Linked DNA regions of Macaca mulatta. The protein of the gene in region 1 purifies or fractionates together with the protein of each later gene. This does not show direct contact. Links are inferred from orthologs where the notes say so. Each region holds a gene or a part of one and is shown on either strand. Other genes may lie near its edges.

Region 1 (3,645 bases):
TAAACAAATACAATAGAGCTGCCATGCGCAACTGTATACAATCATTAAGAGACACAAATGGTGATTGTAGAAACATAACATGTACTAAAAAATAGGTAATAAAGTAGAAGACAACTAAAATACAATATGATTAACTTTAAAAAGCATGTAGAGATTCCTATCATTTAGGATATAAATTTACATAAGAAAACAAAAAACGAAAACCATTTGCTTTTCCATGATAGGGTTATTATATTAACAATATAAACTTTGTGTTTTACATTTCAATGTTCAAGAAAGAATATAGATAAGTATAACCTATGAAAGAGTATATTAATTGTCATCAAAGGATAATTGTACAGTCTTTTTTCCTCTATGATCCCATGCTTTGAACTACTTTGAAATAATTGTCACGGTTGATGAATACGGAAAAACTGAAGTTCTGCCATCTTTGAAGCAAAATATGGCAGCTAGTACATGGCAGAAAGCAGTGATAAGCCTGAAAAGTTGGGGACATTAGAATATAATTCACATCTAGATAAAGAATGTGAGGACAATATCACTATAAAGAATAACTGTTTTGGCTGGGTGCAGTGGCTCATGCCTGTAAGCACTTTGGGAGGCCGAGGCAGATGGATCAACTTGAGGTCAGAAGTTTGAGACCAGCCTGGCCAACATGGCGAAACACCATCTCTACAAAAAATACAAAAATTGCTGGGCACGGTGGCTCATGCCTGTAATCCCAGCACTTTGGGAGGCCGAGGCGGGTGGATCACGAGGTCAGGAGATCGAGACCATGGTGAAACCCCATCTCTACTAAAAATACAAAAAATTAGTCAGGCCCGGTGGCAGGAACCTGTAGTCCCAGCTACTTGGGAGGCTTAGGCAGGAGAATGGCATGAACCCAGGAGGCGTAGCTTGCAGTGAGCCGTAGCTTGCAGTGAGCCGTAGCTTGCAGATCCTGCCACTGCACTCCAGCCTGGGTGACAGAATGAGACTGTGTTTCAAAAAAAAAAAGAAAAAGAAAAAGAAAAAAAATACAAAAATTAGCCAGGCATGGTGGTGGGCGCCAGTAGTCCCAGCTACAGGGGAGGCTGAGGCATGAGAATTGCTTGTCTGGGAGGAGGAGGTTGCAGTGAGCTGAGTGACTCTTAGCATTTCTAATAAAATTATCTTTTGACTGATAATATAATTCTAAGTCTTTTCTAGTTTTTATATTTAGGGTTTTTTTTTTTTTTTTTTGCTGCATTTGACAATATCTCCAAAAAAACTGATTAATTTTGAACATTTCTATGTTTTCTTGACTTTAATGAAAACTGCTTTAGCATTTCATAATTTTAGAATGGTGCTGGTACTTGTCTGGGAATAAATAGACTTTGTTATTTTTAAGTAGTGCTTTTCACTTAGAGTTTTAATCAGAAACAGGTGCTGAATTCTATTAAGTACCTTTTTGATAGCTATTGAAGCAATTATCAATTTTCCTTTAATTTGTTAATGTAGTGAATTATGTTGGATTTCTTAATAATGAAACATTCTTGCATTACTGGAATAAACCTTATCTTAGACACAGGATATGCTTTTGATACGCTGTTGGATTCTATATGATAATGTTTTACAAATAAATTTTACATCTATATATTATTTTCTTTATTTTTGGTCATGTCAGGCTTTGTGTTATGGGTGTGTGGACTTTAAACTGAATTGGTGGAAGATTTTTATTTTGTTTTATTTTATTTTATTTTGAGACACAGTCTCACTCCATCACCCAGGCTGAAGTACAGTGGCACAATCTTGGCTCACTGCAACCTCCACTTCCTGGGTTCAAGCAATTCTTGGGCCTCAGCCTCTCTTCTTTTTAAATGGTGTGGAATAATGTAATAACATGGGAGTTAACAGTTATACAGCCAATAATCCCAGCATTTTGGGAGGCTGAGGTGAGCAGATCACTTGAACCCAGTAGTTCGAGACCAACCTGAGCAAGATGGTGAAACCCTGTCTCTATGAAAAACACAAAAAATTAACCGGGCATGATGGCATGCACCTGTAGTCCCAGCTACCCAGGAGGCTGAGGTGGGAGAATCACCTGTGCCCGGGAGGTCCGGGCAGCAGTGAGTTGTGACAGCACTGCTGCATTCCAGCCTGGGTGACAGAGTGAGACCCTGTCTCAGAAAGAAAAAAAAAGAAAAGAAAGAAAAGAAAAGAAAAAAGTTATAGAGAGAACTCTCTGGGGGCTCTGTCCCAATTTTAAATTAGATGCTGAATTAGATAAGATATGAACTTACTGTATATGTTTAAAGAAGTCTTCCAAGTTTAGCCACAATTTGCCTTAGAAACCAGAGGCTAAAATTATCTCCTTTTACCATTTAGAAACCAGAATGAATCCTCTCTCAAGACTTTTTTATTCTTTTTTTTTTTTTTTTTTTTTAAGATGGAGTATTGCTACAGTGCCAAGGCTGGCCTCAAACTTCTGGACTAAAGTGATCTTCCCACCTATGCCTCCTGAGTTGCTGGGACTACAGGCACACACCACCAGGTCTGGCTTCTCAAGACTTTTAAACAAATACTCGCCCAATGACTAACACTAGATCTGGTTAACATAAAGAAGAAAGCTGCTTAGTAGGCACAGAAAAAAACTGGAGGCAAAGTCTGGTCTGTTGATTCATACTTGCTAAGATTTAATGAAATAATGCATGTTTGTTTAGGTCCTAGACTACTTTAAAAACAACCTAAAAAATATATTTCCCTGATCCAGAATATGTAGATAGAGTAGAGGTAAGGTGTTCACACAACTTCAAATATTCATTACTAGAGAGTTGCTTACATTTTCATATTTAGGAGATTCTAACATTTAGATCTTTTGGTATCAATAGGTAAAAACAAGTCACCATTAACTGACAGGAAGCATAGAATTCTCAATTTAGTTCTAGCAAAGACATTATTTTATAAATATGAGTTTTTAAATGATTCTTATGAAGAAACTAGCACCACAGTGAATGCTCTCTGCAAGTAACTCCCAGCTTCTCTGAATTTCAAAGGCAGCCACTAATATATTATTAACAAATTCAATTTAGCTGAAAGCAATGAATTACAGAAGTAAATCTTTAGGTACAAAGTAGACAGTTGACGCACATGTGGCATATACACACTAGTGACCTGCCTCAAAGGGAAATGCTTATTAATACCCATAATCTATTGTCACTGTGTCAAATTCTTACATATCATAGTCCGTGATTTCACTACTCGGTAGCAGCAATAAAGTGTTAAAAGGCCCATCAGTATGATGACACACATTCCAGTAGTAAATCCAGCCTGTTTAAAAATAAAAGTATAAAACAGCATACATCATCATGTAAGCACAAATTCATATGCAATTATTTTACCCTAAACAATCATGGTAAAAACTTGACAACTCATGAAAAACTAAATATAACCATCTATTTTCGTTCATGAATTTTATGTAGATTCATTAAAACCTCTGTTATAAAACTTGCAATATAAACAGAAAATCATTTAGGCAAAAAGTGTGCTAAAAAATTAGTATTACCTGTTTTATGCCCCAAGGAATGCTTAGTATAGATGTTCCCATCATGGTATTCCAAATCATAAAACTGAAAACACAGAGTAATAGCAGTAAAAAAAAATGGAGTTTGCCTCTTCAAACATTTG
Region 2 (4,357 bases), on another chromosome or scaffold:
GCGCGGTGGCAGGCGCCTGTAGTCCCAGCTACTCAGGAGGCTGAGGCAGGAGAATGGCGGGAACCCGGGAGGCGGAGCTTGCAGTGAGCCGAGATCGCGCCACTGCACTCCAGCCTGGGCAACAGCGTGAGACTCCGTCTCAAAAAAAAAAAGAAAAAAAAAAAAAAAGAAGGTTGATCAGCATTAAAAAAGAAAAAAGAAAAAATGAAGTATATTACATGTAGTAGGAAAAGTATTGTTTCATGACTTTTGTTTTAGTGGGTATATGTGTGTGTTGAGCTGTGACTTAAAATGTCTTTCTTAAAAAATTATTTCCTATTTATTTATTTATTTATTTTTAAAAAAAGTTTTTGTAGAGATGAGGTCTTGTTAGGTCACCAAGGCTGGTCTCAAACTCCTGGCCTCAAGTATCCTCCAGCCTCAGTCTGTGTTGGGATTACAGGAGTGAGACACTGCGCTCAGCCTTAAAATGTATTTGTTTTTTGTTTGTTTGTTTGTTTTGGTTTTTTTTTTGAGATGGAGTCTCGCTCTGTTGCCCAGGCTGGAGTGCAATGGCGTGATCTCAGCTCACTGCAACCTCCACCTCCTGGGTTCAAGTGATTCTCCTGCCTCAGTTTCCTTAGTGGCTGGGATTACAGGCACATGCCACCATGCCTGACTAATTTTTTGTACTTTTAGTAGAGACAGGGTTTCACCATGTTGGCCAGGCTGGTCTTGAACACCTGACCTCATGATCTGCCCGCCTCAGCCTCCCAAAGTGCTGGGATTACAGGCATGAGCCACCGTGCCGGCCCTTTAAAATATATTTCTTATGGCTGGGTTGTGGTCAAAACGTTTGAAAGCTATTTCCTTATAGCACCAGCTCTAGGCATCCAGTAGGAGTCTTATGTTGAACTAAAAATGGCATTGGTTGTGCAGGGGGTAGGGGAGAGTAGGCAGTTGAGTTACTATGAAGATCCTTCCTGGAGAGTTCACCCTCTGGCCGATTTGAAAAAAACAAAAGTAAGTTCGGCAAACTTTTACTAGGTATTCATTGTATGCCAGGAACCAAGCACTGCACTCCCTGCCTCTCTGACCTTATCTCCTACTTAACCCTCCTCCATTCTCATGCAACTCCAGCCATACCAACCAACCCTGTTGATCCTTGAGCAGGCATAATTCTGCCTCAGGGCCTTGGTACTTGCTGTTCTGTCCAAAATATTCTTCCCTCAGATAGCCACATGGCTTGTCCCCCACCTTTCTTCACATCTTTGATCAAATATCACCTTTCCAGTGAGACTGTCCCTGACACATACGCCCAACAAACTCATACTCTTTAACTTCCCTGCTTTCTCTCCATTGCAATTTCAATACCTAATATATACTACATATTTTACTTATTTTAAAAAATGTGGCCGGGCACAGTGACTCACACCTGTAATCCCATCACTTTGGGAGGCCGAGGTGGGTGGATCACTTGAGCCAGGAGTTTGAGACCAGCCTGGGCAACATGGCAAAACCCAGTCTCTGCAAAAAATCCAAAACTTAGTGAGGTGTGGTGGTGCATGACTGTAGTCACAGCTACTCAGGAGGCTGGGGCAGCAGGATCACCTGAGCCCAGGGAGGTCGAGGCTGCAGTGAGCTGTGATCGCATCACTGTGTAAGATTTATTAGGTCTGGGGGTTTTGTCTTTCTGTTTGCTGTTTTTTTTCCCTAGTCCTGAGAACACTGCAAGGACCTAAATATTTGTTAACTGAACAGATACTAGGAAGTTCACAGTCTAATGGCGACTTCCCCTTTCTGGACTTCATTTTCCTTTCTTTGTAACCTTAAGGGGTTGGACTAGGGTCTGGAGACTGCCATGGTTCTGTGAGTCGGTGAAGCTGGGATGACAACACTTTGTGTTTGCACGTCATTCTACTGTTTATACCCATTATTTCATTTGACCTTCACAACAACCCACGAGGGAAGCGGGGAGAGGGAAATTGTCTTCTCCTTAGACATGAGGTAAGGAAGCTGAGAGAGGTTAAGCGACTTACCCAAGGTTCCACAACTGATAAGTGGATGGCTGAGACCAGAACCCAAGTCAGACCTCTCAGGTCCAGGGCTCCTTCCTCACCACCACTTGATGAATAGGGTCCTGCCTATTACAAATGCTGCTGCAGACCAACTCTTAGTAATCTTCCGGAGATCCTGTCCCTGCCCCTCCAACCATCCAGGATGGGGTCCAGGTCGCCCCCTTGGGATCCCCTTGGGGGACAGGGGAAGTCTGGCTCCCCTCTCCATACCATGCAGTCCATGAGGATGAATTTGAGATTGTCTTCATTAAATGCTTGGTTCCCGTTCCGGTCGTAGGCGGCCCAGATGTTACTGGCTATGGCAGCGGTGACCCGGGCGTCAGTGTCCCCGTAACCAGAGTAGGCCAGCAGTGATCCCTCGTTATTCAGCAGCCTGGTGAGGGGCGGGGAGGGATAACGATGTGCTCAGCGCGGGGAGTAAAACGTCTGGGTTTCCATCTCAAGTCCCGCCACGGGCACATCCAGCAAGGCTCTCGGCTGAGTGTGTCCCGGAACGTGCCCTAAGCACCCAGCACACCGGCCTCCCTTTTCGAGAGGTGACCTCCCGGCCGGTACCCCCAGCCACTGCCCCCTCTGACGCCTCCTCCCTTCCGGGCGATCCTTCCCCACCCCTCCCTCAGGGAGTCGCACGCCGCTCCACTGCAGCGCGCGCCGCTGGGGTCCGTGGTCCGCACTCACAGGGTGCTCTGGACGCCTCCAGTGTTGGCTTGGCTTAGCACCTGGGTCAAAGCCTTGGGGCGCAGCATGCCTACCGCTCCTAACCCTGGGTTTTTGCACCCAGATCCTCCGAGATGCCTCCCGCGGGCCGCTGCCCGCTGCTTCCCGTAGTCCCGTTGGCCTGCTCCGGGATGCCCTGGGAGTTGTAGTTTCCTCGCCTGGCTATTGTGGTTCCGACTCAACACCGCCCCGCCGCGGGGGTCTCTGGGAATCGTAGTTCCTCGTGACCTCGCGAGGCACCATGGGAACTATAGTTCGCCTTTCCAGGCGGACCACGCGGTTGTGGGGGCGGAAAAGAGCGGGAGTGAAAGGACAGCTGCAGCGCTGGAAGGACATTTAACCCCTTCGGGGAGAAAGGAATCAACGTGTCCGCTTGGCAGTCCACGATTCAATAATTATACTACATCCTCATATTTGTCAGGCGCGCCTTTGGTTACTTTCAAAACAGTTTTCTCCGTTATGCACAATTCTGTGCGATGAGGCGAGAGGTACTATTATTATCTTGAGGAAATCAAGGCTCTGAAAGGCCACGCAGCCAAAACCCAGCTCCCTGGAACCGTTCGCAACAGACCATTTAGGCCGCGACCCTCGGGGCTATAGGGTCAGTCCTAGAGCTGAGATCCTAAGTGGACGTGCTTGGTGGGAAACCCAACCTCCAAGTCGGGAAAGGCCCCTGGCCTGGAAGGGACTTGGGGCTTCCAAGAAAGACCAAGTTATCACAGGGAACGGAGATAAAGCGGCGACACACAAAGTCCTTTGTCCCGGAGCAGAGTTAGCCGCGGAGGGGGCGGGGAGGCTTTGGGCCGGAGGGGACGGCGGCACGGCTCGGGCGAGCAGCGTTGGGCCGCGGTCTCCCGGGGAGTTCGCCCTCGCCCCCGCAGTGAAGGGCACGTCCCTTCCCCCGCCCAGAGCCTCCCCAGGAGCCCCAGCTTGGCGAGACCCTGGCCGGATTCCGGACCTGGGGCTTGGCCCTGGGCGGACCCCGCTGCAGTGGCCCCCCCGGTCCGCCCGGGGCGCTGTGGCTGCGGCTGGTCTGGAGGGGGCGGTGAAGCCTCAGGGAGGGGAGGGGAGAGGAGGGGAGGGGAGGGGAGGGGAGAGGTGGAGAGAGGGGAGTGTTGGAGGCGCAGGAGCCGAGCCGGGCCGGCCGGGCGGGCGGGGAGGAGGAGGAGCCGGGCGGGCTGGCGGGCGGCCGGGTGGCGGCGGCGGCATGGCGGAGCCGAGCGGGGCCGAGACGAGGCCCCCTATTCGGGTCACCGTCAAGACCCCTAAGGACAAGGAGGAAATTGTGATCTGCGATCGAGCCTCGGTCAAGGAGGTAGTACAGCAGGCGGGAGGCGGGGGGAGCGCGGAGGAGGGGTCTGCGAAGAGATGGGGGCCTCCCTGACGGTCTGGCGTCCTGGAGGGCCCCGGAGAGGAGAGCGGGGGCCAGCTGGGACTCCGAGGAGCTGAAGGGAAGGAGAGTCGGGTAGGGGGCGCCCTGCGAGGGGAGATATTGGGGAGCGTGGCGCGTGTTGGGGGGCGGGTTTTGCCTTGTGGCCTGGGCTGGGGGCGTGGTGGAGAGTGAGGAGGGGACACCTTGCACC
Region 3 (4,220 bases), on another chromosome or scaffold:
ATTGATACGCAAGTTTTTTGTAAGCAAGGCCATGCCTTGGGCCACAGGTAAGAGTCAGAACCTGTCATTGTGCTCTAGGAACTCCCAAGTTTGGTAGGTGAGACTGACCCAGGAACATAGAATATAGTGTGATCACTATTGGATGTTCCACGACTACAGGGACTTTGGCTGTTTTGTGAACTGATGCATATCCAGATATAACAGTGTGTGGCACATAGTAGACGCTCAGCAAATATTTGTTAATAGATGCATGAATTAACACTGGATGAGGATTAAGCATAGAGAGCTGGACATGTCCAGAGAATGGGGTCAGAGAAGGTAATCAGGAGGACATTGTACTGAGTCTCGAAGACAGTAGGCAGACCAGGCTGCATGTGCAAAGTCCAGTAGATCAATCAGGAAACATCATTTCTCTATGTCCAGTGAAACAGATTGCTCACCCCTCCACCCCCTCACCCCTCACCTCAGAACATGCAGTGGCAGAGAGGTGTCAGGCTCTGCGTGACTTTGATATGTCAGATGGGTAATGTGCCAAAACAAGATTTGAGGGTGGGCGCATTTCACACACGCGGAATCACACGCGCATGAACAACAAATGGATCACTATACAATTTTGGACGGACTTGGACCTGTGTTCAGGGCCCAAGGGAAGACATGGGGGAGGAGGGGCGTTTAGGAAAAGAGAACTGATGGTCAGCTTTGTGCGTTAGATTTACTATGGGTCCTGTTAAAAAAAAGGCAGAATTAAAGATAAAAGCCTGAAGGCAGAGAGGTCAGTGAGGTGACTTCTATCTCCTCCACCAGGATTTATCTCCGCTCCGCGTCAGCATGTGAAGGAGTATAAGGTCCCTTCTTCCTGTAAGTCGCAGATCCCCAGCCCAGGTGCAGAATACACCCTCCGTGTATTCACCCCCAGCCCAGCTGGGCGATACACCCTCTGTTCCCCTACTGGGTACCGGTCATCTGGATCTTCTGTGTGTGCACCCAGGCTGTACGATCTAGGAGCGTCAGGCCTGGATCCCACTCGCCCCTCGCATGGCATTTAGAAGAGTATATCACGAGGGCATATAAGGGCATTTGGTACGAGTTCGCTCAATGGCCCAGAGAAGTGGCCTAGTGGCCACGAGAACGCATAACACTATTCACGACGGCCACTTCTGCCAGTTTAGAGACTGGAAAGATGAAGTCATGTGATCCGCCCCTCCCTTTCCTCGCTTCACTTGCCTGCGTGTCCGGTTACGCCTTCCTATTGGTTGACAACGATCACGCGCTAGCGGGCGGGACCGGAAGCCGGGGTATTGCCTGAGGCGGCCCAGCGGCTCCGGGAGAAGGGATACTGGGGGTGGCGGCGGGTGGTTGCCTGCGGGAGGCAGTTGCGGGTCATGTGACCGGAAGGGCTCCTGACGGACGCCGTCCCTCCTCGGCGCGGCCTGAGCGCCCGGCCTGACCCCTGCCATGGGGTGCTGCTACAGCAGCGAGAACGAGGACTCGGACCAGGTGCGGCCGCGGCAGGCGGGGCTCGGGAATGAGGGCTAAGACCCTGGGGCTTGGGGCCCCAGAAAGAAATCTGCGGAGAACGGGCCAGGACTGCAGGGCTCGATGAATACGGAGGCCTGGAGGGGACAGATTACACAGGAGACGCCAAGCCGGACTCCTACCCCAGTTAAAGCCCCAGCTTTCTACGCGGTCCCCGCCTCGGGGTGTACAGGCAGCCGCCTGTCCGGCTCGCTCCCACCACTTCCGTTTGCTCCTACCTTCAAAACTTTCCAGATTCAAGGATCCTCAGTCTAGGTCCCCGGGAAATACTCCCTTCCCAGCTTCCTGTCTTCTCTGTATTAGTGGGTTTTGCGAATCCATTGCAGGGGTGGGTAAGCTGAGGCCCTGAGTTAGGCTGTCCTGCGATGAATCAGGAATTCATGTATCGTCTTAGTCCCTGGGGTTGCAGAAGGAAGGTCGCTGCTAGTTTAGGGCCAGAGGACGATTCTGGAAGTTGGTGGCCTTTGAGTTGGCCAATGAAGGATTTAATGGATACAGTGAGGACATCGGGACATGGGGGAAATTGTCTGGGAAGCAACAAAGAGGGTTTAGCTTTGACTAGATTGTGGTAAAAGAGAAATGGAGCGGGAAGTTCATTTGGGTCTGAGTTTGGCTTGCCTCAGTGCAGTCTGCCTGGGGCCTGAGGGTTCCTTTAGCTGGAGACATGCCTGTTCTGAGAATTTGGCTGTAGATCTGATCCCTCTGACGAAAGGCTTAGGCTGGGGAGACCTGTACAGTTTTAAATTCTCCCTCTTCCTCTTAGTGCATTCTCACTTCTCTCCACATTCTAATCCCTGCCCCGCCTGGCCTGACATTCAAGGATGAAGTCACAAGTTGCTGTCCACTCTTTTTTGATCGTCTCTAACCCTGGATTCTACATTTGAACATATAGTAGACCTGAGAAAGTAGAAAGGTTTCAAGTAGCTCACAGTCTAATAGGGGAGATGGTCACAAAAATAGATTATATCACTGGTACTTGGGAAGTAGTTATTTCTTCAGTGAACGTATTTTGGATTAAGGGCTTAAGCTTAGGAAAATGTCATTTGTGGCCGGGCGCGGTGGCTCAAGCCTGTAATCCCAGCACTTTGGGAGGCCGAGACGGGTGGATCATGAGGTCAGGAGATCGAGACCATCCTGGCTAACACGGTGAAACCCCGTCTCTACTAAAACAGGCAAAAAAAAAACTAGCCGGGTGAGGTGGCGGGCGCCTGTAGTCCCAGCTACTCGGGAGGCTGAGGCAGGAGAATGGCGTGGACCCGGGAGGCGGAGCTTGCAGTGAGCTGAGATCCGGCCACTGCACTCCAGCCTGGGAGACAGTGAGACTCCGTCTCAAAAAAAAAAAAAAAAAAGAAAATGTCATTTGTATGGGAAGCAAGGGTCGCTTCTGGTTCTCAATTCTTCATACACCCAATGAACACATATTTCCTTTGCTCTGTGTTAGGCATGTGTCATGCCTAATACCTCTCACTTCACCTCCACCTTTTTGAGAAAGAGACAACAATAACCCTGCCTACTGGGAGAGCTGTGGCCTAGTGGGAAATTGTCCCTTAAAGCATAATGTGGACTCTTGCAGGGAATGAGTCAAGAAGGATTAATGCCTTATGAGAAAGGATACCAGCTTCTACTTGGAAGGGAGAGCTGGGCCTGCTGCTCTCCTGAATCTCTACCTTCTCCTTGGTGGGCTCTCCTTTCTGTTCCTAACACCCAGAGAAGATGTTTAATCACTGCTGGGTGATTTGAGGCCTCACGTAGCAAGAGCCGTAACCATCCACCTCCCAGAGTCCCTCTTTCAGTTCTTGGGCAGGCTCCTCTCCCACTCTCATCTCTGTCTCTTTATCACAATAAAAAATGTACAACACATTACAGTTTACAAAGGGCCGTGATAGTTATCTAATTTGACTCTTGCCAGACATCTGTCATATTAGTGTGGGTTATGTCTATTTAAAGGTGAGGAAAAAGTTCAGAGAAGCTAAGTGATTTGGCCAAGCTGGGAAGTGCTAATGCCCGGGTGTTCTGATGCCAAGCCATGTACTTTATCCATGGGGCCAAGCAGTCTCATCTATGCCCCTAGACCAGGTGGCCAGTCATGGGCAGGGTGCTATGTCTGTGCTAAGGTAGACAGTGAAACCCTGCCTCTTGGGTTACACTGACGCAGAGACAAACCTTGATGTGACAAACCTAACCCATGCTCCACTCGCACTTCGGGAGTGGGGTGATACTTGTCTACTCTGAAGGGGGTAGCATGGCCTCTTCTTTAAGTCTAGGTTTCAAGAAAACAACCTTGTTCCTCCCTTGATCTTAGCTGAAGGCTGAGAAGTGATCAGCCAGCCTTCTTCTTGAAGAACCCCTGATAGGGAAGAGACTACCCTGTCCTGCAGGAAGATCTGTCTGAAGTGGAGCTGGGAGAAGGACAGACACATAGGAAGCTAACTTGGGCCTCATTATGGAGCCAGCTTTCCTTAGAAATACATAGTTTTATCTTTGGCAAACATTTTGTCTTTTTAGCTCTTTTAATACTGAGCCTGTGTTTTAGGGAGGAAGGGTGTCTGGGAGTTTACAGAGGTGATGGGGCAAAGCCCACAGCTTCTGTCTTTTGCTGCTGGGAACTGGATCAAATTGCCTGAGGACACTTGGGCAACCTAGGCTTGAGAAAGAAGAGTAAGGTGAAAAGGCTGGGCCTCCCT

The links. Proteins that work in one complex are often made in the same cells at the same time.
Region 2: the proteins of SLC38A9 (region 1) and LAMTOR2 purify together in Homo sapiens (co-immunoprecipitation; 5 studies listed by BioGRID and IntAct, with this or other methods). This does not show direct contact. The link is inferred for Macaca mulatta from reciprocal best matches to the Homo sapiens genes SLC38A9 and LAMTOR2.
Region 3: the proteins of SLC38A9 (region 1) and LAMTOR1 purify together in Homo sapiens (co-immunoprecipitation; 5 studies listed by BioGRID and IntAct, with this or other methods). This does not show direct contact. The link is inferred for Macaca mulatta from reciprocal best matches to the Homo sapiens genes SLC38A9 and LAMTOR1.

The regions. Positions count from the first base shown.
Region 1 is NC_133411.1:63,475,584-63,479,228, forward strand, and holds part of SLC38A9 (neutral amino acid transporter 9), read right to left. Parts: intron 3,588-3,645; coding exon 3,524-3,587; intron 3,289-3,523; coding exon 3,195-3,288; intron 1-3,194.
Region 2 is NC_133406.1:110,879,291-110,883,647, forward strand, and holds the start of LAMTOR2 (ragulator complex protein LAMTOR2), read right to left. Parts: upstream 2,929-4,357; 5' UTR 2,804-2,928; coding exon 2,736-2,803; intron 2,431-2,735; coding exon 2,268-2,430; exon of another isoform or gene 1,250-2,267; intron 1-1,249. Other genes in the region: UBQLN4 (ubiquilin-4), read left to right, coding at 3,982-4,089. UniProt on the Homo sapiens protein: As part of the Ragulator complex it is involved in amino acid sensing and activation of mTORC1, a signaling complex promoting cell growth in response to growth factors, energy levels, and amino acids.
Region 3 is NC_133419.1:72,398,436-72,402,655, reverse strand, and holds the start of LAMTOR1 (ragulator complex protein LAMTOR1), read left to right. Parts: upstream 1-1,292; 5' UTR 1,293-1,455; coding exon 1,456-1,497; intron 1,498-4,220. UniProt on the Homo sapiens protein: Key component of the Ragulator complex, a multiprotein complex involved in amino acid sensing and activation of mTORC1, a signaling complex promoting cell growth in response to growth factors, energy levels, and amino acids.